Elephas maximus indicus: one gene and its partners. The protein of the gene in region 1 purifies or fractionates together with the protein of each later gene. This does not show direct contact. Links are inferred from orthologs where the notes say so. Each region holds a gene or a part of one and is shown on either strand. Other genes may lie near its edges. The genes, in order: EIF3H, EIF3J, EIF3D and EIF4B.

Region 1 (7,518 bases):
GGAACTTTTGCTAGGGGAGGGGTCGTATCTGGAGCTCAACTGGAAAAGTTAAGTTGAAGGTGCCTGTGTTCGAATCCACCAGTCGCTCCTTGGAAACTCTATGGGACAGTTAAACTCTGTCCTATAGGGTTGCTATAAGTCGGAATCAACTCGATGGCAGTAGGTATTAGACATTCAGTGGAGATGGTGAATAAACTGTTGGATATGCTGATCCATACTTCAAGGGCAAGGTCTGGGGAAGACCTAAATTTAGGAATCATAAGCATGTATTTTATGATGTTTACAGCCCTAAGAGTGGATGATGTCATTATGATAGGGAACAAATATAAGGGAAAGAAGATGCTCAAGGACTGAACTCTGGTGCTCTTCAATATTTAAGGATTTGGGAAGGGGAGCAGAATCCCTGAGAAGAAAGGAACAGCCAGTGAGATAGCAAGGAGACCAGGAATCCAAGTAAATGAAGTTTCATTGCTTCTAGGACTTTGTAGCTAAGGTATTCATATTGGTTTCTTAATTCCAATTCTGTGTCATAAGGTTTTATTTCTTAATTTCTTTTAATATTTATACCTCTGACCTATCAGGAGCACTGTTTTGGTCAGAGGACTCAAATGCACCATCTTAGGTCAGATTTAAAAAACCTGTGTAATGTGCTTGGAGTCCCTGGGTGGTGCAAATGGTTGGCTGCTAACTGAAAGGTTGGTGGTTCGAGACTACCCCCAGAGGAACCATGGAAAAAAGGCCTAGCAATCTACTTCTAAAAAATCAGCCATTGAAAAGCTTATGAAGCACAGTTCTACTCTGACACACATGGAGTCACCATGAGTCAAAATCAACTAGATGGCAACTGGTGGTGGTGGTGTGTAATGTGTTTGGCACACATGACTGTAAATCCTTAGTGGGATATTTCTAAGGACAGAAAAATTGCAAAGAAATTTTAAACTTTACTCAGTAGTTTTATTGGTAGTGGTAATATTGATATTGCAATTATGAAATATACTATGTGTTACGTATATTGTAGGATAAAGTAACTAAGTAAACTTATTGTTGGTAAATAACCTAAGTATTCTGTGATGTTGTCCAAGCATGACCAGTAACTTGAAATTTGGCTCTCAAAATGGAGGGTGCCGAGAGAACAAAGAAAGAGAGGACAACTCCAGTGTAGCAGCAAAGAAGACTTACATATGAGGCCAAGTGTTGGGCAGCAGCAGGACCAGACCAGATTGCCAGAGATCTGGAACGGCATAAATTTTACAGTGGTAGTGGACAATGGTGGCTTCACACCAGAGGCTTACATAAGAATGCAAACTAGTGAACTAGCAAACCACATGGGGGTGCCCATGTTCGGCCTCCCAAAGCCCGTTTCTCCTTCAGTCCACTCCCTGAGGCTGGCTTTTACAATCTGGCATGCTCTCCCTCTTGTGCTGTAGTACGAGTACGAGAGACCCCGTTCTCTCCCCACTGGGACCAGATATAGATGTGGGGTTGGCCAGCGCCGTATGGTGTTCATGCATATGCAAGAGACAGAGAAAGTTATTCTGTGCCCAGAACAGGGGGAGGTTTCTCTGATAAGGAGAAGGAACTGGGAGAGAGAAAAAACCAAAAAACCAAACCTGTTGCCTTTGAGTCGATTCCAACTCAGAGTGACTCTGTGGGAGACGGAGGCTCAATTCCTAGCCTCCTTATCAGAGAAGGCTTTAGACCCGAGGCCTTTACTTAGGCAGCCTGGGTGGGAGACGTAGAGGCAGACCATTCCTCCAACAGATGCTCATCTTGACAGGTACCCAATGGTAGGCACGCATCTCCAGTTCTGCTTGTTCCATTAGGGATTTTCTTTCCCCTCCTCCTCCTTCTTCTCCTTTTTCTTATCATTTTTTTACTGATTTTTAGTGTGATTTTACCATGATCAGCCTTCAACACTTGTAAATTTGTAAAGACTTCATCACCCAGGGTGTGATCTATTTTAATAAATATTCCACATACTCTTAAAAAGACTAGATATTAACATTTCCTTTTGTATCCTTAGTTTTTTGTGTGTGTGTGAAACCCTTTGCCAGGTACAACTATTTCTTTTCTCAGATTGTAACACAAGAGCTCCCTCCTCCCCAACAGCCAAAGCAAAAAAACCCGTTGCTATGAAGTCGATTCGGACTCACAGCAACCCTTTGGGACAGAGTAGAACTGCTCCATAGGATTTTCAAGGTTGTAATAAAAAAATTTTTTTTTTTTTTTTTAATCTTTAGGGAAGCAGACTGGCACGTCTTTCTCCTGTGGATCGGCTGGTGGGTTCAAACCTCCGACCTTTCAGTTAGCAGCAAAGCTGCTTAACCAATGTGCAACCAGGCTCCTTCCACCGACAACAAAAATAGCCAAAAACTTCAGGGAGGAAAAACCCTTCATTGATGTTCCCACTTTATCAGTTCTGAATACATACTTAAAGAATGAGTAAACATTTTAAAAATAAGACAAATTGTTATTTGGAATCTGAGAAATAATGTCTTAAATTCCTTAACTAAATTGGCTTTCTAAAGCTGTCAAGTTTTTTTTTTTTTTTTTTAAGACTTGAGATGTATATTTTAGAGTAATGTGTCACCAGTTAGCGTAGTTTTTAGGGAATAATATGTTCTGCATTATTGTTCAACACTTCACATAATAACGACAACAAAAACAAACCAAACCCAGTGCCGTCGAGTTGATTCCGACTCATAGCAACCCTATAGGACAGAGTAGAACTGCCCCATAGAGTTTCCAAGGAGTGCCTGGTGGATTCCAACTGCCGACCCTTTGGTTAGCAGCCGTAGCACTTAAGCACCAGGGTTTCCCACATGATAACATCTTTGGTATTTTGCTCATGTAAATCTCACCATGAAGCTAATAGAAATGAAGAGCTATTAGTTCTGGTAATTCCGATTAAAGTTCCTATGTTTGAATTAATTTCTTTATAAACCATCTTAAAATTTTCACTATCTAAAATTACATGAGACATAACATGGATGAATATGGAAGGCATTATGCTGAGTGAAATTAGTCAGTCCCCGAAAGACAAATACTGTATGAGACCACTATTACAAGAACTCAAGAAAAGGTTTAAACACAGAAGAAAACATTCTTTGATGGTTACGAGGGTGGGGAGGGAGGGAGAGGGATATCCACTAACTAGATAGTAGGCAAGAATTATCTTAAATGAAGGGAAGGACAACACACAATACGGGGGAAGCCAGCACAACTGGACTAAACCAAAAGCTAAAAAGTTTCCTGAATACAACCAAACACTTCAAGGGACAGAGTAGCAGGGGTGGGGGTCTGGGGACCATTGATTCAGGGAACATCTAGGCCAATTGGCATAACAAAATTTATTAAGAAAATGTACTGCATCCCTCTTTGGTGAGTGGCATCTGCGGTCTTATAAGCTAGCGAGGAGGGCCCTCTAAGATGCATCAATTTGTCCCAACCTACCTGACAAAGGAGAAAGAAGAACACCAAAGACACAAGGATAATATTAGCCCAAGAAACAGAAAGGGCCACATAAACCAGATATTCCATCAGCCTGAGACCAGAAGAATTAGATAGTGCCTGCCTACCACCAATGACTGCCCTGACAGGGAGCACAGCAGAGCCGGAGAAAAGTGGGGTGTAGAACTCAAATTCTAGTAAAAAGACCAGACTTAATGGTCTATCTGAGACTGGAGGGACCCCAGAAGACATGGCTCCTGGACTCTTTGTTAGCCTAAAACTATTCCAGAAGCCAACTCTTCAGGCAAAGATTAGACTGGAATATAAGACATAACTAAACCGGCAGCTCCCTCAGGAAGCGAGATAAGAAGGCAGAAACGGACTGGAGCTGGTTGAACTGATGGGGGAAATCTGGGGTGGAAATGAGGAGCGTGGTGACATATTTTAGGGATAGCAACTAGGGTCACAAAACAGAGTGTGTAAAAATTTCCGCACGAGAAACTAACTTGAGCTGTAAACTTTGACTTAAAGCACACACGCACACAAATTACAGGACACAGATTGCAATACCAGCTTGCCACTAATGAACAGAAGGACATTGCCCAAGCTACGTCTTAGTTTCCCAATACGTCCAGTGGGAGCTAGTACTCCCTTCATAGTTTACAAGTTTGGGAATACAGATTAATTCAAAAGATTAGAAGTGAAAGCATTTTTACGTATAAGACGCTACCGTGATGTCAGCTATAATGCTATTATGGTCACTCCCTAAAGGAGAATGACTAAATATGAAGTGGAAAACATTTAAAAAGTCTACAAAACTGCTCAACAGAAACGGGAGCGCAGCTGCACAACCCGCATGCGCACAGGATTCCGGCGGGGAGGTACAATAAGTGGGCGGGAGAAGAAAAAAGGCGGGGCCCTGCGCTGGCCACACCTCTTAGCAACGCGCCTGAAACGGAGGTGTGTCCTTGACGTCCCGGGAAGGTTATACTTCCGCTTCCGGTTACTCACTTTCCCTTCTTCCTGTCCGGCTGGAAAAATGGCGTCCCGCAAGGAAGGCACCGGCTCTGCGGCCACCTCTTCCAGCTCCACTACCGGCACTGCAGGCAAAGGCAAAGGCAAAGGCGGCTCCGGAGACTCGGCCGTGAAGCAAGTGCAGATCGATGGCCTGGTGAGTTGGGCCTGGTCTCCTCCGGCCCACGTGGGCAGCGCAGTTCCCATGGCAGTCTCGCCAGACACGCTTCTCCTCTGGGTCTGGTGAGGTTGCGCCAACGTTTTCCGTAGCATCCTCCTCCTCCTTGATCTTCACTTTTTATTTGGGAGAGGTGGCAGCCTTCTCCGCCCTCTGACGGGAGCTTCGAGGGTTGAGAAAAGGGATCGAGGTTAGGGGTTTGTATGACAGACGCTTGAGGTCTTGTTTTCATTTGGAGAAAGAGTATTGTGGGAATCAAGTAGGTGACGGAAGTGTCAAGAAGATGTAGGATCGTAGTTTCCAAACAAAAAATAAAAAAACACCAAACCCACTGCCGTCGATTCCAACTCAGAGCGACCCTGTAGGACAGAGTAGAACTGCCCCATGGGGTTTCCAAGGCCGTACATCTTTACGGAGGCAGACTGCCGCATCTTTTCTTCCGCGGAGCGGCTGGTGGGTTCGGAGTTCCCACTTTTCAGTTAGCTTAACCACTGCACCACCAGAGCGCCTTTTTTTTTAGAACACTAGCTTAGGGCTCTTGAAAAGGGGACGGTAAGGGAAAGTTTTCACTGCTTCCTTGCCGTGATTTGACATCTGTAACTTCAAATTGTAGGCTTACTTTTTAGCCACCTTTCTGAGCTTGTGGTTCAGTGCTTTACCTACGTAACTGGAGTAAACTCTTTACTAGTGGTCATTCTCAAGAACTTAAGTGAATATCAAGGAGAATTTCCGTTATTACACGTATTTAGTGATTGAGGTTCGTGAACTAGGACTTCTAAGGAAATCTGGGTAAGGGAATGGACTAAGCAGGAAAGAGGCAAATATAGAATGATGTGAAATTTCATTTCTGTTGTTTCCAAACAAAGTGCATGTGTAGGACCTCCTAGCTTTAAAAGCATTGCTCTTTTTGAAAGCTTTTGTTTTTAAAAGCACCCTCCTCTTTTGCACACCTTTTGTTTTTTTTAGTCTGCTTAGGTCTCTGTCTGGTCTGATTATTTTGCAGTAGTCCAGACCTTAGACATTTGTAATAAAGAAATCTTTTAAGATTCATTTGACAGTTTTAATTGCAGTAAGGTACATTTATGTGAAGGGAGACCTGGTGGTGTAATGGTTTAGCCCTTTGCTGCTAACCAAAAGGTGGGCAGTTGGAACCTAGTAGCCCAGCAGCCATTCTGCCGGAGAAAAGACCTGGCAATCTGCTCTCATAAAGATTTCAGCCTAGGAAATCCTGTGGGGCAGCTCTACTCTGTCATACACAGTTGCTAGAAGTTGGAATCTACTCAAGGGCACACAACAACAAAAAATGTTTACATAGAAACTATTGATAATTTCAGTAGCTTAATCTGTTGAAGTAAACTAGAAAAGGAAGTGTTTAAGTTAGTAAAACTGAATAAGATGGCTAAGACTCTAGACTCTGGAGTCATTCAGTCTTCCTAGCTTTGTGATCTTAGGCAAGTTAGCCTTTCCAAGTCTTTCTTCTTCATCTGCCCAGTGGGAATGAGAAGTAATTGTGTGATGAAGTTGTTGCAAATTCGTGGGGGTGGTACATAGTAAGCTCTTAGTAATTGTTAGTTGTGGTATAATTATTATTATGAGCATTATGTCTATGGATGGCAGGGTTTGAAAGATGCAGGCAGGAAATTAACTTTGAAAATTCCTTGACCTGTCCGTTTACTTGTCATTTGCATAATACTTTGAAAATGTATTCTACTTACATTTCTGATGTTCACCCGCCCCATTGGAGGCAGGTGTGTGTTCAAGAGTAAATAACATATTTTAGAAATTGAACGTCACTTTTTTTTTGGCAGTAGGACTGAACTAGTAAAAGTAAGTACCAAATTTAATACTTATTAAATTTGCTTTTGTGACAAAACCACTCTTTGAACCACTGAGTTTTCATAGTTGAAAATGTAACACCTTAGTGATGTTTGGTTAAGGTAATTTATTTGGCAAATATTTTAGGGCTTTCTTCTAAGTGCTGAGCACTGTGTAACATGGATGAATGATAATGGTACACCAGTAACTCTGTCCTTGGAGCTACAAGAGATTGTTGAATTAAAAAGACAGCTACAGGTGGAGTCAGACTAGGATCACGAAGAGCCTTACAGGCTGTGACGGTGGGCTCAGCAAGGTCAAGAGACTTGTTCTCTATTTTGTGACTTCACAAATCATTTTTATCAGCTAGTGGTTAAGAGCTACAGCTGCTAACCAAAAGTTTGGCAGTTCAAATCCACCACGTGCTCCTTGGAAACTCTATGGGGCAGTTCTACTCTGTCCTGTAGGGTCTCTATGAGTCAGAATTGACTTGGCGGCAATGGGTATCTCAAAGTTGTTTAGTTCCAAGGGACTGATTAATCCTATTCATGAGATTGATTTATAAACTTAAATGTCAGTTTCTTAATTTGCTGTGGAAGATATACCTTTGTAGTGACTAAAATGTTCACATCTACTACCAAAAGCACCCTTTTTGATTACCAGGGTATCTGGGAAATCATATTAAAAATCAGCTTACTAGTGACCACAGAATCCATTATAAGGGCAAATGAGGGACCTTGAGGGTTATTTATTCCAGGGTTTTGAAAAACTTGGTGAAGTACTTCTTAACCGTAGTAGTGGATACCTCTCTGCTTTTGCTCTTTATCAGTTAGATAAATATTAATCAAATAAATTCTTAATAACTTCTCTTTCCCTTAAAGAAAAAAAACCCTTTGCTGTTGAGTCAGTTCCAACTCATAATGACTCTATAGGACAGAGTAGAACTGCCCCGTAGGGTTTCCAAGATGTAGCTGGTGGATTCGAACTGCTGACCTTTTGGTTAGCAGACAAATGCTTCACCACTGCGCCACCAGAGCCCCTCTCTCTCCCTTACTGAAGAC
Region 2 (8,236 bases), on another chromosome or scaffold:
AGGTCAGCAGTTCGAACCTACCAGCGCTCCAAGGGAGAAAGATGTGGCTCTCTGCTTCTGTAAAGATTAAAACCCGCTGCCGGAGAATCGATTTCGACTCATAACGACCCTATAGGACAGAGCAGAACTGCCCTCGTAGGGTTTCCAAGGATCTGCTGGTAGATTCAAACTGCTGACCTTCTGATCTGCAGCCAAACTCCTAAACACTGTGCCACCAAGGCTCCATAAAGATTACAGCCTTGGAAATCCTATGGGGCAGTTCCACTCTATCCTACAGGGTTGCTATGAGTCAGAATCAACCCCACAGCAGCGGGTTTGGGTTTTTTTTTAGTGTGTTTCCTTACAAAGATTGTCTTAAAGCATTAGAATTCAGAAATTTGGTGTTACTCACCACCACCCAAAATGACAAAATTCAACTCTAGATCAATAACCTCTGAACAAGTAAAAACTTGCCTGATAACTATGATCATTTCATTCAAAACATAAAATTCACAGTAAATAAGGAACGTGGAAAGCGCTTCTCTGGGCTTAGGAAATCACAAACAATGTGGCACAAAATGAACCCCAGACAGTAGATTTAAACAGCCTAAGCATATTTTCCATTAAGTGAGACTTAACAGGTACTGAGGGCCTACCGTGTGCCAGGCAACTCTGCTTAGTGCTTGACATATTATCTGGTATAATCCGAAAAATAACCCTTTGAGGTAGGTTACTATAGTGGCAGTTTATACATGATGAAACTGAAAAAAAAAAAAAAGGAAGACTAGACAAAATGACCTTTATGGTCCATTAACCCACTGCCACCAAGTCCACTCCTATTCATAGCAACCCTGTAAGACAGGGCAGAACCACAACTACCCCACAGGGTTTCGAAGGCTGTAATCTTTACAGGAGCAAAATACATCTTTCTCCCGTGGAGCAGCTGGTGGATTTGAACCACTGGCCTTTCAGTTACACTTAACCACTGTACCACAGGGCTCCTTACAACTTGTCAATCTCCAAAACTAGTCCACAGAGATCAGAATTCTACTGATGAGGACCAATACCACTTAGATTCTTTAACTCCAGGAAGGCTGTTTCATGATACTGTATCAGTTCAGACTACTCTACTCAAATTATCATTTTCTGGGACTTATTTCCTAACTTCTCTAATCTTTTCTTCTCATTTGCTAACTTAAACTCAATTTTCATAACATATATCTAAACTGCCACATTTAGTATGCATGGAAAAGTGAAAGGACAAACTAGAACTCAAAGCCAAGGTTCAAAACAGAAAATCTGCCCCACAGGGTTTCCAAGGAGCAGCTGGCAGACTCGAACTGCCAACCTTTAGGTTAGCATGCTGAGCTCTTAACCACTGCACCACCGGGGCTTCACAATGTAGGGAGGTAACTAGTATCTCGCAAGAAAGCTGATAACACCATCTATCTCTTTGTCTGAACAATGTGTAAACAGAACACCTAAGCATCTTCAGTCAATAAGAGTACCACTCATTCATTAACTCCAATGTGTACAAAGATCACACCACCCCTGAACCTCAGGCTGTGAGGGCCATCCACCTTATCAGATTCAGGAGAAAAGGGAAAAGTCCAAACAATAGCGCTATTATGTTCATAGTGATTATCTAGCTCAAAATCTCCAATTCAAACAGAAGAATTTATAAGGTTCTCAGTATACACTGAAGAGTAGAAGTTAGGAACATAAAACATTCACTGAATTAATTAAAACCTGAAAAACCATTTTTTCCACTTCATACTTTCATCTGCACAAATGTAACAAGACTTTGAGAACCTTGTTAATAAGGGTTTGAACATCTTAACATTCTGAACTTCAGATTTTTGTAGCTACTTAAAAAAAACAGAAGTCAGAATGTCATCTAAAGGCCTACCACCCCTGGGGGTTTTCAAAAGCAAACGGCATTACGTCAATAGGATTCTGATCTACAAGGCGTAGGGAAAAAAAGATAAGCGGCGGCCCCTCCTCTACCCCAACTGCCAAATCTTTAGTGCTTCATCCTCAGGCGCCGCCGTCGTGCGCGGAACATTACACAACTCACTGCCCACTGCCCAGGTCGCCGAGTGGGCTGAGCGGGTTTCTGGGGGCTAGCCGCTGGCCATCTCCGCGCTCGGCTCAGCCTTTTCACCACAGGGTGGGGGAGGGAGGGCTCAAACTCCCCTCCCCGTACTGCTTCTATTTGTCTCGTGTGAACAGGCGGAAAAAAACTGAAATCAAAACACACTATCTCGCTCACCTAACCGTTCCGTCCAAGTCTGCTACAAGCGGGCCTGATCTCGAGAAGGCAGGCCGGCTGCAGGCCCTCCCCTGCGGGCCAGGCCACGCGGCTCAGCCCTCAACCTCCCGCTTCACCCCGCGACCCCACGACAGCGACGCCGGCACGTGGGCCGGCGGGAAGTGCTGTCACCTCCGCAACCCGCCGGCGAGTGGGGCCGGGCCGGGCTGCCGCCACGCCGCCCGTCCCCGGCCCGCAGGCCCAGCGAGCAGACACGGCGCCGCCGACCCTACGCCCGCGCCGGGACTCGCGGCCCGCAGGCCCGAGCGGCGCCCCTGGGCCGAGTCCGCCCGTCCGCCCGCCCGCCGGCCGGCAGGCAACCCGCCCGCGACAGCGCCAACCCGGCCTGCGCTGCCCGGCGCCCCGGCCCGCGCCCACCTTGACGTCTTCGTCCTCGTCCTCGCCTTCCCAGCGGTCCCCGCCGGCGGTGCCGCCGCCCCCCACCTTCCGCACCGGGTCCTCCACGGAGAACGCGTCCGCGTCTACGGAAGAGAGCGAGCCGCGTTAGTGCCTGCCTCGGCGTGGGGCCGGCGCCGGTCCGGGCCCAGAACCTGCCCTCGGAACGCTCCTCACCCCAGGAATCGGAGTCCCCCGCCGCCGCCGCCGTCGCCGCCGTCGCCGACGCCATCTCGGGCCGGGTGTGAGCGTGTGTGAGGGGGAGGAAGCGAGGACTCAGCGCGCAGGAGGTGAGTCACTGGCTTTGCTCTCGTTGGCCGGCGCGAGGCAGGCTGGGACCGTGGCGGACTGTGCGCCGAGGCCCCGCCCATCTGGCGGCAGCCGGGCGACGCACGCGCGGGCCGGCGGCAGCGTGGAAGGCGGCGGACAGCGCTGGGAGCGGCGGGGCCGAGCGAGGCGGCGGGGAGCGGCGGGGCCGAGTCGGGGGTTCCCTCCCGGCAGGACGTTTCCGCAGGCTGGCGGGCGGGAGGACGGAGAGCAGCCGGGAGACCGGCAGCCTACCCTGGGCCCGCGGAGGAAACGTAAGCGCGTGGTCGCTATCCTCGGCCCCCGCGGCTCCGGCCCCGCCCACCCCGGGCCCCGGCCCCGCCCCCGCGGCCCCGGCCCCGCCCCGAGCACCAGCGTTCGGCGCCTGCGCCCTGCCCTCACTCTGCTCGCTTGGATTCCGCCGGTGGCCGCCTGTGGGAGGCGGCGAGCGAGCCCCCCGGCCCGCGGAGGGCGCCGTCCGCCCGCGCCGGAGGCCGGAAGCCGGCGTGCACGGGGCGCGCTTCGGACATCCTCCCTAGCCGGGTCGCTGGGAGCCGGCTGGGCTCGGTCACCCTGGAGGATGTGCCCTTCCCGGGAGCCCCGGAAGCCGGGACATCGAGCCTCTCTTGGCGGGACAGTTGGGGAGCTCCTCGCTCTGCTGGACCTAGGCCCTGGCCGTGTCCTCCGGAGCCCACAATCAAGTAGCAAGGGTAGGCTGTGAACAAATGTCGACACAGTGTGATGGCTGCAGCGTAAAAGAAGCATTGTGAGGTTAAACGTTACAGGGTAACATTAAGGACGGCGGGGACCTGGAGGGTGCAGAGACGTCTCCCTGAGTTTGGAAGACCACTTCTGGTGTAAAGAGCCGTGTGTGCTGTCCCTGACCACAGAGGTCAGCTGAGTGCGGCTGAGTAACGCAGTCGGAGATGCGGCTGAAACGGTAAACTGATCTCAGAGGGGTTTAAGGTGAGCTAAGCAAGTGCACGCGTCCCCGGGCTCTGAGCTCCACCGTGGGGTTGTAAGAGGCAAGCAGTTTCAATGTTTTGTTTTATTAACTCCTTTTATTTTCAAAGACTTAATACTTGATTACAGCGTTCAAGTTTTTTGTAGATACATATTTATAAATATAGTATTAACTTACAACCAAAAACCACTGTGTAGCAACCTTATTCTAGGTTTCTTGTGTATCCTTTTAGAGAAGGTGTACAAATAATACATTGTACAAAGATGGTTTTTCTTGAGACAGCCTGCAGCCCTCATACTATGATCAGAGTGTGTTCACGGATCAGCAGCTGGAGCTTACTGGAAATGCGGGATTTCAGGCCCCATCCACGCCTATGGAATCAGAGTCTACCTTTCCAACAAAATCGGAAGATGATTTTTCTGAACATTAGAGCGTGAGAAGCAGTGATCTATAGGCATCAATTCATAACGATGGATCAGAAGGAGGCAGGGAAAAGCTGCACTCTAAGGTCCCTGAGGGCACGGCCTGTGTTTCATTCACAATTGTATCTCCAGCATGTGGCACGGTGCCCAATACATAATAAGTATTTCATGAATTAGTTAAATGGGAAGGACACAAGCCTGAATTAAGGCCATGTCAGAGAGGGAGAAACCAATCTGAGAAATATCTAGGGATTAGAGTCAATGGGATTTAGTGACTAATTGGATCTGGACGAGGCGGGAAAGGACAGTGCACAGTGATGACACCCATCTAGTTACTCAAGTAAAAAACCTGGGAGCTATCCTTGATTTTCTCCTCTCACTCCCTAAATTCAGTCTATCACCCAGTCCTGTGGTTCTTTTACAGTATTAACCTTGAATCCATTCAGTGCCCCCCCCCATCCACATCCCTATCTCTGCTGCCACTGCCTTAATCCAAGCTGTCTTTACGTGTACTATAGTAACCTCCCGATTGGCCTGCTTTCTTCCAACTCCACAGTCTGTTCATTACACACCAGCCAGTTTGTATATTTAAAAATGTAAATCATAACATCACACGTACACAATTGAAGTCCCCTTAGTGACTTCTTGGAAACCCTGGTGGTGTAGTGGTTAAGTGCTACAGCTGCTAACAAAAGGATTGGCAGTTTGAACCCGCCAGGTGCTCCTTGGAAACTATGGGGTAGTTCTACTCTGTCCTATAGGGTCGCTATGAGTCGGAATTGACTAGACGGCAGTGGGTTTGGTTTTGTGAGATGGAATATGGTGGATTGAAAAGTCACTGCTTGGAGGTCAGTTAAACAATCAGATTATGTTGAACTGAATGCTGGGTACTGCTGGTGAGGAGTGGGGAGAGCTATAATTCCTTCTTTTCCAGAAACTCCAAGTACACAAAGGTGAGTAGACCCCCAAAGCCGTGTCTGACCCTTGCTGAGCTGGCTTGGAAAGGGCATCAGAAGCAGATTAACTGTGAAGCTAATGAAACTTTAGCTTTAGGGCTCTTCATTGCATGAGTTCCTCTCATTCTTCAAGAAACCCTTCCAAATTGCATATGCTTCAGGCTGTATAAAACCTGGGTCTGCCCCTAGGTGGGATATAAGTAACCAGAGGAACCATCCAAATCCGAGGATGGCCTCCAGTGAACCACACTTAACAATATGCAAACCCTTATGTAGTCCTTTCCTCTTGAACCTGGGCTAGCCCTATGATCTGTTTTGACTGACAGAATAGGGCAGAAGTGACACCTAAGGTTGTCACAAGCCTTGCAGCTTCCACCTGGCTCTTTTGGAACGTTCACTGTGGGGGAAACCAGCTGCCATTTAATAAGTCTTACTACCCTGAGACCACCATGCTGTGAGGAGGTCCAAGCGAATCACGTGAACAGCCAGCCTCCCACTGTTCCAGCTATCCCACCTGAGATGCCAGACGTGGGAGTGAAGAAGCCATCTTGGACATCCAGCCTAGTTGAGCCATCAGATGGCAGTCTACATCCAACCACTGTTTGAATACAACCACAGAAGACCCCAAGGGAAAGTTGCCCAGTGGAGAGATAAGTTGTTAAGTCTCTAAGTTTTGGAATGAATTATTATGCAGCAGTGGGTAACTGAAAGGTTCTCCCAGACTTTAGAATTTGGAACTGACGACTCCCAGGGCCTGGGAGCTGTCGTGGCTGGGACAGCACTCTGAAGGGAGGGCCACAACTCCTGCTGAAGTGATGCTTTCCCAGGCCATCCTGGTTCCTCCTGCCTTCCCTGTGGTCCAGTTGTTCAACTCTTCCTTGAATGCCATGAGATACCTTAGTATCATTGCAGTAAATTCTTTTCTTGGCCTCAGCTAAAAATCTTGACAAAAACATCCTAATAGAGTCTAATTGCAAACAGGAAATCTTCAGAGGCTAATGCTCTACTGTACTTGAGTCTGTATTCGGCACATACCCGTTGCCTTGGAGTCGATTCTGATTGATAGCCACACTACAGGACAGAGTACAACTGCCCCCTAGGGTTTCCAGGGGGTGGCTGGTGGATTCAAACTGTTGACCTTTTGGCTAGCAACCTTAGCTTTTAACCACTGCACCACCAGGGCTCTGTGTTTGGCACAGAGTAGGCATTTAGTAACTATTTTTGAATGACTACATGAATAAATTTCTTACTGGGTTCTTTTCCAAGTTAGAAAAGCCTGCCCATCAGGCCATCAGATTTCTCTTCATGAAAGGAAATCTCAAAAGAAAAAAAGTTAATACTGCCGGGCCCCAAGGAAGGAAGCTTTTTATTATAAGGTATGCTGGCTAAGAAGATGCCAGATCCAAACAACTACATCAAGGTAGAGTCTCAGGAAAGCAACGTTGTGTTTTTCTGAAGCGGTAGTGTAATTATTTGTATTAACTTTGCTGAAGATGTTTTAAGACAATGTATCTTAAACCAAAAATTATTATCAGAAAGAAGGTTAAATATAGGGAAGGTGAGGCCAAAGAACAAGATTTTGATAGTCTCTATAGAAAGGAAACAATGAGCTGACCTGCAGACTTTTAGCAGTTGTATCATATGAGGGTATCCGCTTGATTTGATAGTAGCCATTAAGGTTCCTTTATAATAGACTCTCTGGTTCCACCCTTACCAAAAAACCCCAGATTGTGATTCAGTCTTTTAAGGAACTTGCTGACAGTAAATGAATAAAATTGAAATCTGGCTTAAAAAATGAGTGTCTTGTGTGTGAACCAGTTCTCTTGAGTCTCGTCAGTTTTGGTTGCACTGAATAAATCAATTTTATGGACTTGAAAGTATAAGTCTGAACTTCTAAATGTAGGCTCAGACATTCCTTCATTTAGTCAGCAAATAGTTATTGAGTACCAAATATGTACCAATTGCTAGGTTCTGGGAACACAGAAAAAACTCACTTCAAGGTGTTAAACCATTGCAGCTGGAAAGGAGGGGAGTGGTGCTGTATGAACGAACACCGTAAGAGCCTGTGCATCTTCAGCGCCGATGTTTTGGAAGCAGCAGTTAAGATTTGCTCACAGTTTGGTGCATGCTGTACCCGCCCCAATGAATTCGGAAACAAGCGTCTAGAAGTATGTGCTAGGTACTTTAACATTTAGTTATTAAAACAAACCAGTGTTTCACATGTTAGCCTCTAGGGAAGCCCCAAAATTGCAACTAACAGTATTACTCAAATTTTACATATTTTTAAAAAGTTTATTTCACAGATGACCGGAGTAGGTGGTCAGTAACTGTTGGACAAATGAACATTAAAACCTCTGCCCTCAGGAAGGCTCTAGAAGAGTAAATGCCAACAGAGGTGAAGCAGAGCTGCTCATGGCTTATCAGTTTAGGTGCCTTAAGTACCAGATTCAAAATCTCCTAAAGATGAAATAAGGTTAAAGCTGAAGAGGGGGAGGTTTTAATTGCAAACAGAGCCAGTTTAAAATTCATATATATAAAACACGAAGATTACTCAGTCACCTAAAAAAAAAAAGTTTGTATGAGTTGATACAGAAGGAACAAATTTATTTTTCATTTTAAACAAGCCAAAAAAGACATGTCTATGTATCCAAGAATCATATAAGACATAAAATGACAACACTGTCTCTGTTCAGTTCCTGCACATTTTTCCAGACTTTTATAAGGTGCCATAAAACCCTACAGTTCTTTCCCATTTTTGTCTGGCCAGTGGAAAGCACACGTCTTTCCCCAGGGAGTGCCCAGTCCACACTGATCTGTCAGTACTCTTCTAAGCTAGACGAGCCACGCTCCCCACAGCTTTCTACCAGTCCCCTGTCCTCCAGGCCTCAGATTGCCCCGTTGT
Region 3 (7,609 bases), on another chromosome or scaffold:
ACCTCTTATCCTGGTATGTGGCACCTGTCCAATCTGCCACCTATTAAGAGCAACAAGGAAAGACAGAGAATGCACAGGTCAACCAGGCAAGTTGCTGTTGACCCAGAAACCCCTGAAAAAGTTACAGGAGGAAACAGTGTGATAAAGTCTCAGAAGAACTGGATCACAATGCCTTTGTAAGTACGCAGCTCTCCTGTGACTACTTCCAGAGGTCAGAGCCTTTCTCAGCTGGTATCACTATAAGGAACGCAGGGGTTATGCTTTTGAGAGAATAAAATGCAAACAGGAACTCCTGGGGAGTAACAGCCACAGCTTGAAAGACGCAGAGTCCTGCTGACAGGCAAGTACCTTTCCTAGCCGGTCTCCTTTGCTGAACGGCTGGTAGGGCATATCCCGAAACTGCTCGGGAACTGCACACGGGCCCCAGCCTGAGGGATTATCTTGGATCACGGGTGTCATGAACTTCGCCATCTTCTAAAACCTTAAAGACACAAATAAGGTGAGTAGCTGCGGGAAGAAAGGCCTCACAGTACAAAAAGTCCTCCATTTGAGGTAGGCCCAGACAGAAATGATAAAAATTCAAAAAGCAACACACAAAATGCAACTCTGAACTACTGAGCTACTGACGAGATGCTTTCTTATAAGTGACACTGTGAATAAAGCTCATTAGATTGATAACCAAATTGATTCACTGTATTTCATTAGTTCTGTGACACTTTTTCAGCTGTGACATCTTTGAAATGAAGCTACAACTTATGTTTGATGGTGTACCACAGCTTAATTGGCAGTTTTTCTCGGCGTTACATAAGATAATGGTGCTTCTTAACATCAGTGTGTCTCACAAATTTGATGAAATCTGGTAACCCTTCTGCAACTGTAATAACCACATTCTGTTCTTAGAAGCCCCTTAACCCAGGCATACGATTCCTCCCTAAGCCCCCGTCTCCCCATCTGTAAAATAAATAGAATCCTTGCTTTATCTTGTACTACGAGATCACCGTGGAAGTCCTGGTCAACACACATGAAAATGCCTCCTTTGTAAAATGCCACATAATTACTACCCAGCCTTGCAAAATACATTTATGCCCAAAGAGTGGTGAGAAAAAAGAATCCGTAAGTTATGTCAGAAAATTTGACTTTCCTTTCTTGTTCTTCCAATTTTCTATCACCAATGCAAATCCTGTGTGCAGAGCAAGTGGACATAGCCAGGCAAAGGCCTGCCAGAAGGCTGATGTCACCATAAACCTTAGGCCAAAAGCTACCATACATCAAATATTATGGATACCAGGTACTGTTTTCAGTGCTAACCATATATGAATTCGCTAAATCCTCCCAACAATCCTGTGAGGTGGGGACCAGTATTATTTCCACTTTCAGATAATAAAACTGAGGCACAGTGAAGTTAAGAAATTACCCAAAGTCTCAATGGTAGTTGATAAGGAATTTGAATCCAGGCAGTCTGGCTCCAGAGTCCACTCTCTGCACAACGCTTTAACTCCTCTCAGGAGTATATGAGCCTGGGGTTCCAACGCAGATGCTTGCCTGACAGTCCCTACCAAAAATTATGTGTTTACCATCCATTTCAGCACTCTGAAAGTGCTCACAACCTTCGTTCCCTGAGAAAAACTCATGACACAAGCATTTCCTGGAAGCTGAAGAGCAAATCGAAAAGCAGAGATATACTGAACTCAGTAAACTCTCCTCATTGTCCAAAATGGGGAGATTGAGGCTTCCTACAGAGATGACACTAGAATGATAGCAACAGGGAATGAACCTAGGAGCTTCATCCTCCAACTCTGAACTTAAGCTATGCTAGCAAAGAGGACAGAGGGAAGGGGCGGTAATCTCAACAATTCACATTCAATAAATATCTATTGAGCTGTATGTACGAGGCGGAAACCCTGGTAGCATAGTGGTTAAGAGCTACAGCTGCTAACCCAAAGGTCAGCAGTTTGAATCCACCAGGTGCTCCTCGGAAACCGTGTGGGGCAGTTCTATTTTGCCCAATAGGGTCGCTATGAGTCCGAATCGACTCGATGGCAACGGGTTCGGGTTTTGGATGGACGAGGCATCATACTAGATACTTTAACACCACTACCTCCCTCCCGATTTTAGAGATAAAAATCTGAACCTCAGCCACATCAAGCGGTTGACCTGTCCATGGTTTCTGAACTGATTCGATTTACAGGGCAGTCTGCCGTAAGTCCGACACTCTCTTCATCCCATTAGAGCTGGGCGGCAGTCTGAAAAACTCTGGGACTTTCAGACCATACTTAACAACGCAATAAGAATGTCTGCAAATACACTGTTCTTTCAGTTTAGTCGTTCTGTAAGAAGCTCAAGAAGGAAACCGGCCCAAGGCTTGACATGCACTTTTCCAGCCCAAGTAAAACAGAGCGAGCAGAATGGAACCAGTAGGGGAAATGGAGTCGTTCGGGGAAAATGGACAGTGACAGCTGTACTGGCCACAGTGTTGTGTAGATATTGTCGAGGCCATCGCAGATCGCACCCATCAACCCCTGGGCGAAGAGAGACTTCCGATCAGGTCAATTCTCCATCCTAACCTCTCATGTCAAAGAAAAGGAAAAGAAACATTTGAGCTGCGCATTCCTCAGGGCAGGGGTCGAACATCGCTCAGCTTACCACCCTCAATAACCCACTCGTAGAAAAAACTCAGGAAGCCTCCAGCCACTTTAGAAACACCTTGAGACCCAGCTGAGTTAAGTGACAACCAAATACGCTTAAACCGTGGCCAAGAAGCGAGCTTAAAGCCAGAGACTTCACCAACTGGGCCGGATCCCGCACCCCAAGGGGTGCTGGGCTCGGAGCCTCCAAAAGTGGCTCTCTGCCCCGCCCGGCTGAGGAACCGCGGCAGCAGGAGGGCACGTACAGGAGGTCTCTTCCGGGAGGCCCCTGAAGGCAGGATCCAGCCCAACCGGCTCCGGAAGCCCTCAGGACCCCACACAACACGCCGCTCACCTGCAACGGCCTCGGCCCTCCCCGATGGCGGGAGATGGTCGGGGCAAGAAACGCGAGTCACCAGAAGCACTCGGAGAACAGGGAAAAGGGAGAACATGCGCGCGCAGCAGCCGGCGCCGTAAACACGACCGGCGCTGTCGTAAACTGCTCGCCAGCTTCTTCCGAGTTCGGTGGTAAGACGCACGAGCCGTAAAGCTAAGGTAACCCGGAAAGTCGTTACTGCTCTTTGCGAGGTGTGAGCCGAAGCCTCCCAGACTTCAAGACGCAAGAGGTGTGATTATAGTTACGTCAGGCAGCACTGAAACGTAGCGGCCGTGCAATCGAGGCTGGGGGCCGGGAGAGGCTGAGATCCACTCAGTATCCCAGAATGCTTCACGGGACCCTTCCGCCCCTCTGTATCCCACAATGACCCGCGGCTCCCCCGCTCTCTTTAACCAATCATGTCATTTGATTCTTACAGCAAGGGGTGGGGCGAGTGTTTTAGGCCCGGTTCGTAATTATCACCGGTTTCCTTTTTACAGTAATTAGCACCCGTTTCCTTTTTACAGTAGCGGAAGCTGACGTGTAAAATGACCTGCTTAGTTTAGAGTGCTAGTTTAGGAGTGTCTACCAGTGTCCAAATCCTACTTAAAAACTATTCAAACTTGACTGTACGGCAAAGATTACTGGAGCTCTACTTTAAAAGAATGCAGATTACGAATCTCGCTCCCACAGATAGTTATTCAAATCTGCCTAAAGAGGAGTCCAGGAATTTGCATTTAAATTGGCAACTGTGCTTCTGAAGTGGGGGGACTCAGAACCACTTTGCTACGTTGGGCAACAATGCTGTCCTCTCTGCAACTCTCGGCGTAGGGATTTTCTCCTGGAGTCTTTACCGGAGAAATTTCAAAACTTTGATCAGAAGGAGCACCAGAAAATCGAACCTGTTGTGGACGAGTCAATTCCGGTGTGATTTACTCAGTCAGATCCTTTTCTACTTGGTCTCCTAGGTTTCCTTCGTCTCCCAGCCTGTCTCCTTTATTGGAAAATACATCTATTATTAGACAAATCTGGGATCTAGTTTGGACTCTGCCATTTTCTGGCGGAGTGGTGTCACCTCTCTGGCCCTCAGTTTCCATATCTGGCAGTGTCAGAGCTTCTCTGCTAGCCAAAAGGTCAGCAATTCGAATCCACCGGCCCCTCCTTGGAAACCCTTTGGAGCAGTTCTACTCTGCCCTGTAGGGGCGCTATGAGTAGGAAACGACTCCAGGGCAACAGGTTTTTTTTTTTGTGTGTGTGATTGTAAAAATAAAGAATGTATGTTATAACAAAGAAGCCCTTTGCCATAGAGCCGATTCCGACTCATTGCGACCCTATAGGACAAGAGTAGAACTGCCCTGTAGGGTTTCCAAGGGGGGCTGGTGGATTCCAACTGCTGACCTGCTGGTTAGCAGACAAACCCTTTAACCATTGCACCACCAGGGTTCCGTGTATGTTAAAGTACTTAGTAATTCCTTTTAAATTCCGTTTAAAGTACTTAGTAATTCCGTGTTTACCCATGTCCATGGATGAACACGGACAGATTATTCAACCTCTTTAAACCTACTTACTCATCTGTAAAATGAGAATGTTAATAGCACCTTCTTCCATAAGATCTCTTTCAATTGGCTCATTTTTCAGTTTTCCTTAAAAATTTTTTTTAACAACAATGAAAACACGTCCACCTCAGCAGGGCCTCTGCACTTGTGTTCCTTCTGCATGACACACTCTTCTCCCACATCTACTCATAGTTGGCTTGGTCCCATCATCCAAATCTCTGCTGAAGAGTTATCTCCTCAAAGAGGTCTTCCTAAAATAGTTCCTTCTCTCTCCATCCCTCCTTGCCTTCTTACCCTGCTTTGTTTTTTTCATAGTTCTCATCACTACCTGGAATATTATTTGTTTCTTTGTGTAGAGTTTGTCTCCCCCTCTAGAGTGTAAGCTCCATGAAGATAGGAGCTTTGTCTACCTAGAACATTACATATTTGTTGACGTGTTGAATGAATGGATAGAGGTTTTGTGAGAATTACATGAAAAAATGAATTCAGCACATTACTCTAGCACATAGATAAGCAGTCAATAAATGTTATTGTTGTGTGCTATGGAGTTGATTCTGACTCATGGTAACCCTATAGGACAGAGTAGAACTGCCTCATATGGTTTCCAAGGCTATAATCTTTATGGGAGCAGGTCTTTTCTCCCATGGAACCACTAGGTGGGTTCAAACCACCAACCTTTTGGTTAGCAGCTGAATGCTTAACCATTGCACCGCAGTGGCTCCTTCAGTAAATGTTCCCAAAACCCAGTGCTGTCAAGTCAATTCTGACTGATAGCGACCCTATAGGACAGAGTAGAGCTGCCCCATAGAGTTTCCAAGGAGCACCTGGAGGATTCAAACTGCTGACCCTTTGGCTGGCAACTGTAGCACTTAACCACTACGCCACCAGGGTTTCCGTCAATAAATGTTAGTGTAATTAATATCCATAATAAATTGTCCTTGTTCTAAACCATAAGGGAAAATGTATTTTTGCTGAACTGCTTTGATCATGGACTCACAGGCCATCTGCTGCATCCTCCCTCCATGACTCATGTCAGAGAACTGAATCATCTTTCCCAGATTTCGGCCTAGACATCCTTGCCCACCCAGATGGAGATGGATTTGGACTGTCCAGTCTCATTCCTAATAGTGGGTCCCTGGGCTTAGGTGGGAGATCTTGCTTCCATTCCTCCTCCCAACTGACACCCCTGTTGCCATTTTCCTGCTATCTGCTGTCCATTCTCCATGCAGCAGCAGAATGCCCCTGCTTTACACTAAGTCAGCACATGCTCACCCCACCCCTACCCTTAAAACCCTTTAGATGCTTACCGTTACCCTGAGGATAAAATCCTAAACTCCATTCCATAGTCTGCCAGTTGCTGTCATGTTGATCCTGACTCTCGGTGACCCCACGTGTGTCAGAATAGAACTGTGCTCTATAGGGTTTGCGATGGCTGATTTTTCGGTCGTAGGTCACAAGGGCTTTCTTCTAAGGCACCTCTGGGTGAACTCCAACCTCCAACCTTTAGGTTAGCAGCCTAGCTTTTAACCGTTGACACCACCCAGGGAGTCCCCTGAGGGGGAAGGAATGGCAGAATCCAGGAGCTGAAATGAATGTGGGTAGACCGGAAAAGACTAGTGCCAACTCAAAGAAGATGACCAAAGCAACGCAAGAGGGAAGGAGCATCTTTGCCCCGGTAGACTGCAGGCTATGAGAGGGTGGAGGTGCTCAGGTGGGGCAGAGAAGGTAGAGTAGAGGGAACTTGTGGACATGAAGGGAGGCCTATAAAAGGCCAAAAAGCACCCAAAATAGGAGGGTGGAACTGAGCAGGGGATGGTGGCGGGGGGAGGTGCCAATGACAGTTGTTCCCAGACTGGAGGAGGAGAGAAGAGCAATTTTGGAGATGGCCATTTTGTTAGACTTCTGACACAAAAAAAGGCATGAGGGAGTGGGGGGTGTGGGACACCAAGAAATAGACAAAGGAACTGGAAACGCTGACCAGAAAAGAGTCCCAAGAAGGCACAGTAGCATTAACAGAGTAGTGAGCTCCCTGGCACTGGGGACATCCAAGAGAAGGTGATGGCAACCAGCCAGAGGTGTGACAAGGAGATTCCTCTCCAGAGTGAATGCTGGACTGGATGGCCAAGAGGTTCCCTTCCCATCCCAGCATGCGAGAACTCATCCTTCCCTCCTTGGAAGGGCACGTGTGGGAACAAAAAAGGCTGTTCCTGACGCAGGGCTATTTCCCCAGCAGGACACCCCCCCCCGCCCCCCACCAGGTCTACCCTGGTCAAAAACCCACTGCCGTTGAGTCGATTTCTGACTCATAGTGACCCTATAGAACAGAGTAGAACTGCCCCATAGAGTTTCCAAGGAGTGCCTGGTGGATTTGAACTGCTGACATCTTGGTTTGCAGCCATAGCACTCAACCACTACGCCACCAGGGTTTTCCTACCCTGGCCAGCTCCCTCTAATCCTCCAGTCTTGGCTCAGGTGTCACCTCCTCTTCCATCACCTCCACTTCCACAGAAAGTCTCCCCTGAACTCCTGCCGTAGAGTTGCTGCACCCAAATCGCTTTCCAATACACAGCCCCATGACAGGGTCTTCACCTACTTATCACGTCTTTTTGTACGAGTGCCCATTTTCAACCTCCCCCCACTAACAGGCACCCCCTGAGAGCAGGGTCCCCGACTTTTGTCTTCCTGCTGCAGCCTCCACACTTAGTTCTATATCAGGCACATAGTAGGTACTCCATCAATGTTTGTTGAATGAATAAATACATGAAATTCCAGCTCTGCCTCTTACTAGCTGCCTGTGACCTTGGTTAGTGACCTTGCCCTCTGAGCCTCATTTTACTATCATAAAATTGGCATTGAAATACTGCAGTCATGTGGCTCAAAGGAAATAAAAGACTTTGTCACTTATAAACTGCTGTGCTAACATTAGCCATTATTAGCAATAATGAAAAGTTAGTTATTAAATTGCCCAGAAAAGGACAATGTGCATCTCCACGCTGGAAAGATGCCATGAAAACTCCTTTGAGAAAAGGGCACTGTTATGGATTGATTTGTGT
Region 4 (7,281 bases), on another chromosome or scaffold:
CTCCACTCTCTGTTCGGAGCCCTGGTGGCGCAGTGGTTAAGAGCTGGAATGCTAACCAAAAGGTCAGCAGTTTGAATCCACCAGCCACTCCTTGGAAACCCTAAGCGACATTTCTACTCTCTATGAGTCAGATTTTTTTTTTTACTCTCTGTATTTGTCTTTGAATTTCCGTAAGGCGTTTTTAGTTTTGGCCTTCTGAATCTAGGTATCCTAGCCTCAGAATAACAAATATATGGTAGAGAATGGGATTTGAAAACAGGTAATAATGCAAACATAATCCAATGGCAATCTCTGAAACTATTTCTCTTTGGATAATCACAGGATAATGCACATATGAAGGATATCATAGGTTAATCAAAGGGAAAATAACTATGAGGGTCAGCACCATATGAAAACAATGGATACCATCCTCTCCCCATAAAAAAAAAAATCAAACAAAATGCCATATTCAATAGCATTTAAGTGTTATGCAAAATGAAAGGGTTGCACATAGGTATGCACACACTTTTGCCAACTTTAGTTTCAAAAAGTGCTAACATGTATCAAACACGTTTGATTCTCTATACCTAAAGTGAGCAGATAAACTATGTTCATTTTATAGATGAGGAAACTGGGACCCAAGAGGTAAATGGTCTGTAACAAATTTACAAAAGTTAAAACAAAATGAAAACCTCAGTTTCAGGGGAGTATTCTTAAGAAGCCAAACAAGGAATCAAGTGGCCTGTCTCAATGTATCAAGTTTCCTAAAAATCCAAGATACCTCCATTTAATAGTAAGCCCTGAAATACTTCCAGTTCTTGAAGTCAACGACGGGTCACACTGGAAATGTGTATTGCTGCGAAGAATTTTCAGTCTCAAAAGAGGCTGATGAAGTTGTATCATGTATTTCCACAGAGGAAATACAAGATCTACTTCCAGCAAAACACTGGTCACCATCAGGAAACACTGAAAATACACTGAGAATTTTACAGCCTCTTTAGTACAGCCAGATCTGGTATTACTGGTTACCCAACAGTCAATTACAGTGTAAAAGATTAAAGGGGAAAAGAAATCTGATAAACCTAAAACTCCCCGAGGACAGACTGTCAGATGTATCCCTGAGCACAGATTCCAGCATAGTGCCCCTTGCACAGACTAAACAAGCTAAATAAGTATCCACTGAATTAAGGAAGTGTTTCCAAGGGGGTAAACTAAACATGGAAAACAGGAGAAGGGGACATCACTGAGCATACCCCTTTAACCAGCCTGGATTTCACTGAACTCATGTGTAAAATGAAGGACACAGATTATATAATTGCTAACAGGTCTTCTACCTGTAATAATTTCACAAAAGTTATGGATAAGGAGAATACTGGCTTTTCACTAAATTATGAGACAGTTAACTGTCAAGATGGCAAACCCAGGCCAAATCGGTATTTGACACAATGATAAGCTTAAAATAAATTTAGGACTGTACCAGTTCAGAGAGAAAAAAAAAAGTACAATTTTTTAAACTTCAGATGAAGCTTTTGGACAGCACACCAAAAAAGGAAGTCAACCTTGGTACTCCCAAGTAGGTGATGGTAATGAGTCAACAGTCTTAGATTTCAGCCTTGCTCTGCCACCTGCAAGCAGTGTGACCTTGAACAAATCATTTCATTGTCCTCGGCTGAGGCATACCACCATCTATCTCACAGAGGACCAAACGAGACAACACACACAGAATTGCTTGGTCAATTGGCAAGTCTACACCAATGAACAGCAATGAAAGATATCATGTTCAACTGCACCTCAACTACCTCGACATTTTCTAAAGATAAGCATAACCCTTAGCCTCGTTTATAAATAATAAAGAAGGTAAAATTCCTGGTGAGAAGTGAGTGTCCAGAGATAGCAGGGGCTCAGTGAATGTTTTGTGGAATGCAGGGTGATGCCAGGGTGAAAAAATTATATTCGTCAAACTAAAATCAATGCTACAAGATGTTGCACAGCTTACTGCTGCACTTCCAAGTCTATCAGAAAGATCTGCATGACAGTGATAACGCCCCCTCAAAAAACAACTCAACTCATTTTAATTGTATCCCTAGTAGTTCTACATCTATAAAAAAAAAAAAAAACTGAACTCTACCACCGGAACTATCAAAAACTCAACGCGAATAGAAGCTTCATAAGAGCAGGGACCTAATCTCGTTCACCACTATCTCCAGTGCCTACCACGGTGCCTTGCACAACGTTTTCGCTCAGTAAAAATTTGACAAGAAAAAAGGCACAGAAGAAAATCTAAGTCCTTAGCCCTGGTTCCGCTCCAACACGTGGGTACACCAGAGTTCCCTACCCCCACCTAACTTTAGTAGCTTCAACCTCCAACCTGACACATGTACCTTTAAGAGTACAAAGCTGGGCCACACTCTTAGAGGAAAAGAGCAGAAAGTGGAAGGACATAAAAAGGGGCAACAGAGGCGCGTAAAGCCTTCCCATTTAGGCACTCGCGCATGCTTTTGAGGAGCGCCTGTCTCCACTACCCTCGTCCCTCCCACCGCGCACGCGCACCACTGCCTCACCCCCGCCCCTCCACTGACACGCGCTCGCGTTCTAACTGCCCCCCCTTTATCCCCCTGCCCCCGCTCCAGTCCGCAACGGCCTCGCGCCTTGGAGACCTAGTCTAGTGTGCGCCGGTCCGCGCGCCAACCGCTCCTTCCTTCCTCCACGTCTTCAAGCGGGCACAGTGTATCACGTCCATGAAAACATCTCGCGCCTCTCGCAGATCCTTCTGCGCCTCCTCGCTCCAACTCAAGCCAGAGCCCACCTTTACCCCCGACTCGAGCCTCGCGCAGACCGGGTGAAAAGGCTGTGAGGGGGAGGGGAAGGGCACCTTCCCCTCCCCCCTAAACATCCCGAGACAATAATGTAAGATGGCCAAGCCACCAGCCTGCCGCAGCCCCCAAATCCTAAGGGAAGCAGTGCCGCCCACCTCCCGATTCCAGGTAGTCAGTGGATCAGGTTGGTAGAGTGGTTTAGGAGCCCGGTCTTTCGCCGCGCTCGGCCGCTCACTCACCTGAGGCCGCCATGTTGGGAGAGGGAGAGAGAACGCAAAGGACCCGGATGAGGCAATCACGTGATTATAGCGGGCGCGTCGGCCTAGGAGACGCGAAACTGGGAGGGGGCGGGGAGGTAAGGAGGGAGACCGGAGGCGGGGCGGCGCTGCTCCAGGTTCGTAAAGCAGCGCGAGGAGGTGGGGCTGCGTCCGACGGGAAGACCTGCGCGACATGAGGCCGGAGGGGTGGGGCTTGGGCTGTCGCGAAATTCCTTACGCTTTACGTAGGACTACGCGCGGACGAGAGGCGGGTTCTCATGGTCCGCAGACTTCCTGCGGGTGCGTTAGGCGGAACAGGCGTGTTCGTATTTGCTGGCTGCACTAATAGGGATAGAATCAAGGCGGGCTAGAACCTAGAATGGGTGTGCCGTAATTGATTTTCTGGGACGGATACTTTTTGTAAAAGCGAAACAAGTTCACAATCCTGCCTAAAAATGCTGTAAATAAACGTGCTTAAAAGAAATTAGGTTAATAAATACTGAACATTATTTGCCATGGATTTTTACCTTGTTTAATCCTCACAATTTTCTGATTAGGTTTAGTCAAACCCGGTTTTCTATGATTTCATAGCCGAGTGCTACCCATGTTTTCGCTAGCTAATGCTCCATTTTGTCATATATTAATATTTCAGTCCATGACAATTTTTGTTGAGCACCTACTCTGTGCCAGGCATTGTTAAAGACATTTGCAGGTACAAGAGAGAACAAAACTGACCAGATCCCTACCCTCAAGTAGGTTATATTCCAGAGAGGGAAAGACAGACAATAAGCAAATTAATAAATAAAGTATTAGAAATGATAAGGACTCTGGAGGTAATTAAAATAAGTGATGTAATAAAAATGACTGAGTGGGTGCAACTCTAGAATGTGGCTAGATAAGACCTCCTGAGAAGCGACATTTAAGCAGAGATCTGAATCACAAGCAGCTTAGCCCTGCGAACGTATTCAGGGAGAGTTTTAGGGGAAGGAGAGGATGTGCAGTTACATCAAAGGCCAGGGTAGGAACACCTTGCCAATTTGATGAATTTAAAGGCTAGTAGCATCCCAACGATCATGGAGATGGACGTGCAACTATTTGTTTTGATATCTGTAAGGTTATGAGTCAGAGCCAACTCGAAGGCAGCTAACAAAAACAGTAAGAGAGTGGTACGAGATGAAGTTTGAGAGATAGGCAGGAGTTGGGTCAAGTGCGGCTTTGTAAACCAGGAGGTGGTTGGGAAAGCATGGAATGATTTTTTTTTTTTTTAATTAAGGTAAAACACATGTAACATAAAGTTTGCCATTTTAACCATTTTTAAGTACAATTCAGTGGCATTAATTATATTCATAATGCTGTGCAACCATCACTGCTATTTCCAAAGCTTTTTCATCATCCCAAACAGAAACTCTGTATCCATTAAGCAATAACTCCTCCTTCACCCCTCAGCTTCCCCAGTCCCTGGCAACTACTAATCTACTTTCTGTCTCTATGCATTTGTCGATTCTAGTTATTTTATATTTGTCCTTTTGTGCCTGGCTTATTTCACTTAGCATAATATCTTCAAGATTCATCCATGTCGTAGCATATATCAGAACTTCATTTCTTCATAACTGAATAATATTCCTTTTTGTTTGTTTTGTTTATCAAGCACGGAATGATTTTAAGCAGGAGAAAGCCACGACTTGAAATAATTTTTTAAAAAAGATTATTTAGTACCTTCATATGGGTAGCGGTTATATGAATGTATAACTGTAAAAATGCATCAGATTGTACACTTAAGATTTTTGGACCTTAGTGTATGGAAGTCATACTTTAATTAAAAAAAGAAAAAAGAGAATACTGAGGTTGCTGAATGGAGAGTAGATTAGACAGATGGAATAATGAAAGAGAAAGACCCTAGAAGTATTGTGGGTCTTAGGCATTACGCCTAATGAATAAGTTGGCCCTTAGTGGATAAATTGCTGTGAGAGAAGATGGTGGTTTAGATGTGAATGTGGAGATGGAAAAGGATGGATGCAGATATATTTCGGAAGTAGACTTGATGATTGATTAGATGTGAGAGTCAAGGGAGAGGGAGCTATCAAAGTTAACTTCCAAGTTTTTGGCATGAACTCTGTCTTAGTTATCTGGTGCTGCTCTAACAGAAATACCACAAGTGGGAGGCTTTAACAAAGAGAAATTTATTCTCTCACAGTCTGTGAAGCTAGAAGTCCAAATTCAGGGTGCCAGCTCCAGGGAAAGGCTTTCTCTTTCTATCGGCTCTGGGCGAAGGTCCTTGTCATCAATCTTCCCTTGGTCTAGGAGCTTCTCAGTGCAGGGACCCCAGGTCTGAAGGATGCTGTCCCCTCCTGGTTCTTCATTATTGGTGGCCTGAGGTCCTCCACTCTCTCTGCTCAATTCTCTCTTTTATATTTCAAAAGAAGTTGACACAAGACATAACCTAATCTTGTAGATTGAGTCCTGTCTCCTTAACATAACTGCCGCTAATCCTGCCTCATTAACATCATAGAGATAAGGTTTACAACACATAGGAAAATGACATCAGGTGACAAAATTATGGTCAATCACACTATTCTGGGAATCATAGCCTAGCTAAGTTGACACACATTTTGGGGGGAAATAATTCAATCCATAACAACCTGGGTGATGCTGTTTACTCACATGGTGAAGCCTATCATGGAGCAGGTTTAGAGGGGGTATGTGGGCTCTATTTTGGCCATGTGAAGTTTGAAATAGGTGGCACAAATGGTTAAGTGCTTGGCTACTAACCTAAAGGTTGGCAGTTCAAATCCACCCAGGAGTGCCTCACAAGAAAGGCCTGGTGATCTACTTCCAAAACATCACAGCCATTGAAAACCCTATGGAGCACAATTCTACTCTGACATACATGGGGTTGTGACAAGTTGGAACTGTATGGACAGCAACTAGTTTGCTCAAACTTTAATGTGCTTATAAATCACCTGAGGAATGTGTTAAAAGTCACATTCCAATTCAGCAGGGCTGAGGTGATGAGGCCTGAGATTCTATATTTCTAACAAGCTTCCAGGTGATGCAGATGGTGCCAGTCTGAGGACCACAGTTTGAATAGCAGAGTACTGGACAACCGTAGGGGCCCTGGTGGCACAGTGGTTAAAAGCTCGGCTGCTAACCAAAAGATTGGCAGTTTGAATCCACCAGTTGCTCCTTGGAAACCCTATGGGGCAGTTCTGCTCTATCCTATAAGGTCGCTATGAGTCGGAATCGACTCGACGGCAAAGGGTTTTGGTTTGGGGACAACCATGTGGTGATGTCAAGTAGGTGATCTGGAGTTCCTGAAAGAGACCAAGTCTGGAAATAGGAATTCGGGAGCCATCTTAGTTACCTGGAGCCCTGGTGATGCACTGGTTAAGAGCTCAGCTGCTAACCAAAAGGTCGGCAGTTCGAATCTACCAGCTGCTCCTTGGAAACCCAATGGGGCGGTTCTGCTCTGTCCTGTAGAGTCACTATGAGTCGGAATTGGCTCAGCGGCAAAGGGTTCGATTTTGGTTTGATCTCAGTTACCTAGTCCTGCTATAACAGAAATACCATAGTCGGTGACTTTAACAAACAGAAATTTTATTCTCTCACAGTTTAGGAGGCTAGAAGTCTGAATTCAGAGCATCATGGGGGAAGGTCCTTGTCTCTTTTCAACTTCTGTTTCTTGGCTCCGTGGTGATCTTTATGTGGCAGGGCATCTATCTTCCCCCATCTCTGCTTGCTTCTCTGTGCCTAATCTGTTCTTTTTATATCTCAAAGGTGATTGGCTTAAAACACACCCTAAACTGATATGCCCTCTTAACACAGCAAAGAAAACACAGCCCCTTATAATCACAGATATAAAAAAGAAACCAAACCCGTTGCTCTCTAGTCCTCCAACTCATAGGGACACTATAGGACAGAGTAGAACTGCCCTATATGATGTCCAAGACTATAATCTTTACAGATGCAGACTGCCACATTTTCCTCCCGTGGACGGGCTGGTGGATTCAAACCGCCGACCTTTTGGTTAGCAGCCGAGCGCTTAACCACTGTTCAACCAGGGCTCCTCAGCCACAGCTATAGGGGTTAGGATTTACAACACATATTTTGGGAGGACACATAATAGGAGTCATCAGCATATAAATGGCATGATATTTCAAGCAATCTATATAACCTATACAAAATAATTTGAGAAGCTGGACTGTGTGAAGAACGCAGCATTAGGGCTGGTG

The links.
Region 2: the proteins of EIF3H (region 1) and EIF3J purify together in Homo sapiens (affinity purification with mass spectrometry; 3 studies listed by BioGRID and IntAct, with this or other methods). This does not show direct contact. The link is inferred for Elephas maximus indicus from reciprocal best matches to the Homo sapiens genes EIF3H and EIF3J.
Region 3: the proteins of EIF3H (region 1) and EIF3D purify together in Homo sapiens (affinity purification with mass spectrometry; 10 studies listed by BioGRID and IntAct, counting the BioPlex papers as one, with this or other methods). This does not show direct contact. The link is inferred for Elephas maximus indicus from reciprocal best matches to the Homo sapiens genes EIF3H and EIF3D.
Region 4: the proteins of EIF3H (region 1) and EIF4B purify together in Homo sapiens (affinity purification with mass spectrometry; 3 studies listed by BioGRID and IntAct, with this or other methods). This does not show direct contact. The link is inferred for Elephas maximus indicus from reciprocal best matches to the Homo sapiens genes EIF3H and EIF4B.

The regions. Positions count from the first base shown.
Region 1 is NC_064833.1:25,733,006-25,740,523, forward strand, and holds the start of EIF3H (eukaryotic translation initiation factor 3 subunit H), read left to right. Parts: upstream 1-4,446; 5' UTR 4,447-4,489; coding exon 4,490-4,621; intron 4,622-7,518.
Region 2 is NC_064828.1:11,590,707-11,598,942, forward strand, and holds the start of EIF3J (eukaryotic translation initiation factor 3 subunit J), read right to left. Parts: upstream 3,298-8,236; 5' UTR 2,919-3,297; coding exon 2,864-2,918; intron 2,773-2,863; coding exon 2,669-2,772; intron 1-2,668. UniProt on the Homo sapiens protein: Component of the eukaryotic translation initiation factor 3 (eIF-3) complex, which is required for several steps in the initiation of protein synthesis.
Region 3 is NC_064822.1:180,151,154-180,158,762, forward strand, and holds the start of EIF3D (eukaryotic translation initiation factor 3 subunit D), read right to left. Parts: upstream 3,116-7,609; 5' UTR 2,980-3,115; intron 482-2,979; 5' UTR 472-481; coding exon 349-471; intron 41-348; coding exon 1-40. UniProt on the Homo sapiens protein: mRNA cap-binding component of the eukaryotic translation initiation factor 3 (eIF-3) complex, a complex required for several steps in the initiation of protein synthesis of a specialized repertoire of mRNAs.
Region 4 is NC_064822.1:108,529,046-108,536,326, reverse strand, and holds the start of EIF4B (eukaryotic translation initiation factor 4B), read right to left. Parts: upstream 3,130-7,281; 5' UTR 3,048-3,129; coding exon 3,035-3,047; intron 1-3,034. UniProt on the Homo sapiens protein: Required for the binding of mRNA to ribosomes. Functions in close association with EIF4-F and EIF4-A. Binds near the 5'-terminal cap of mRNA in presence of EIF-4F and ATP.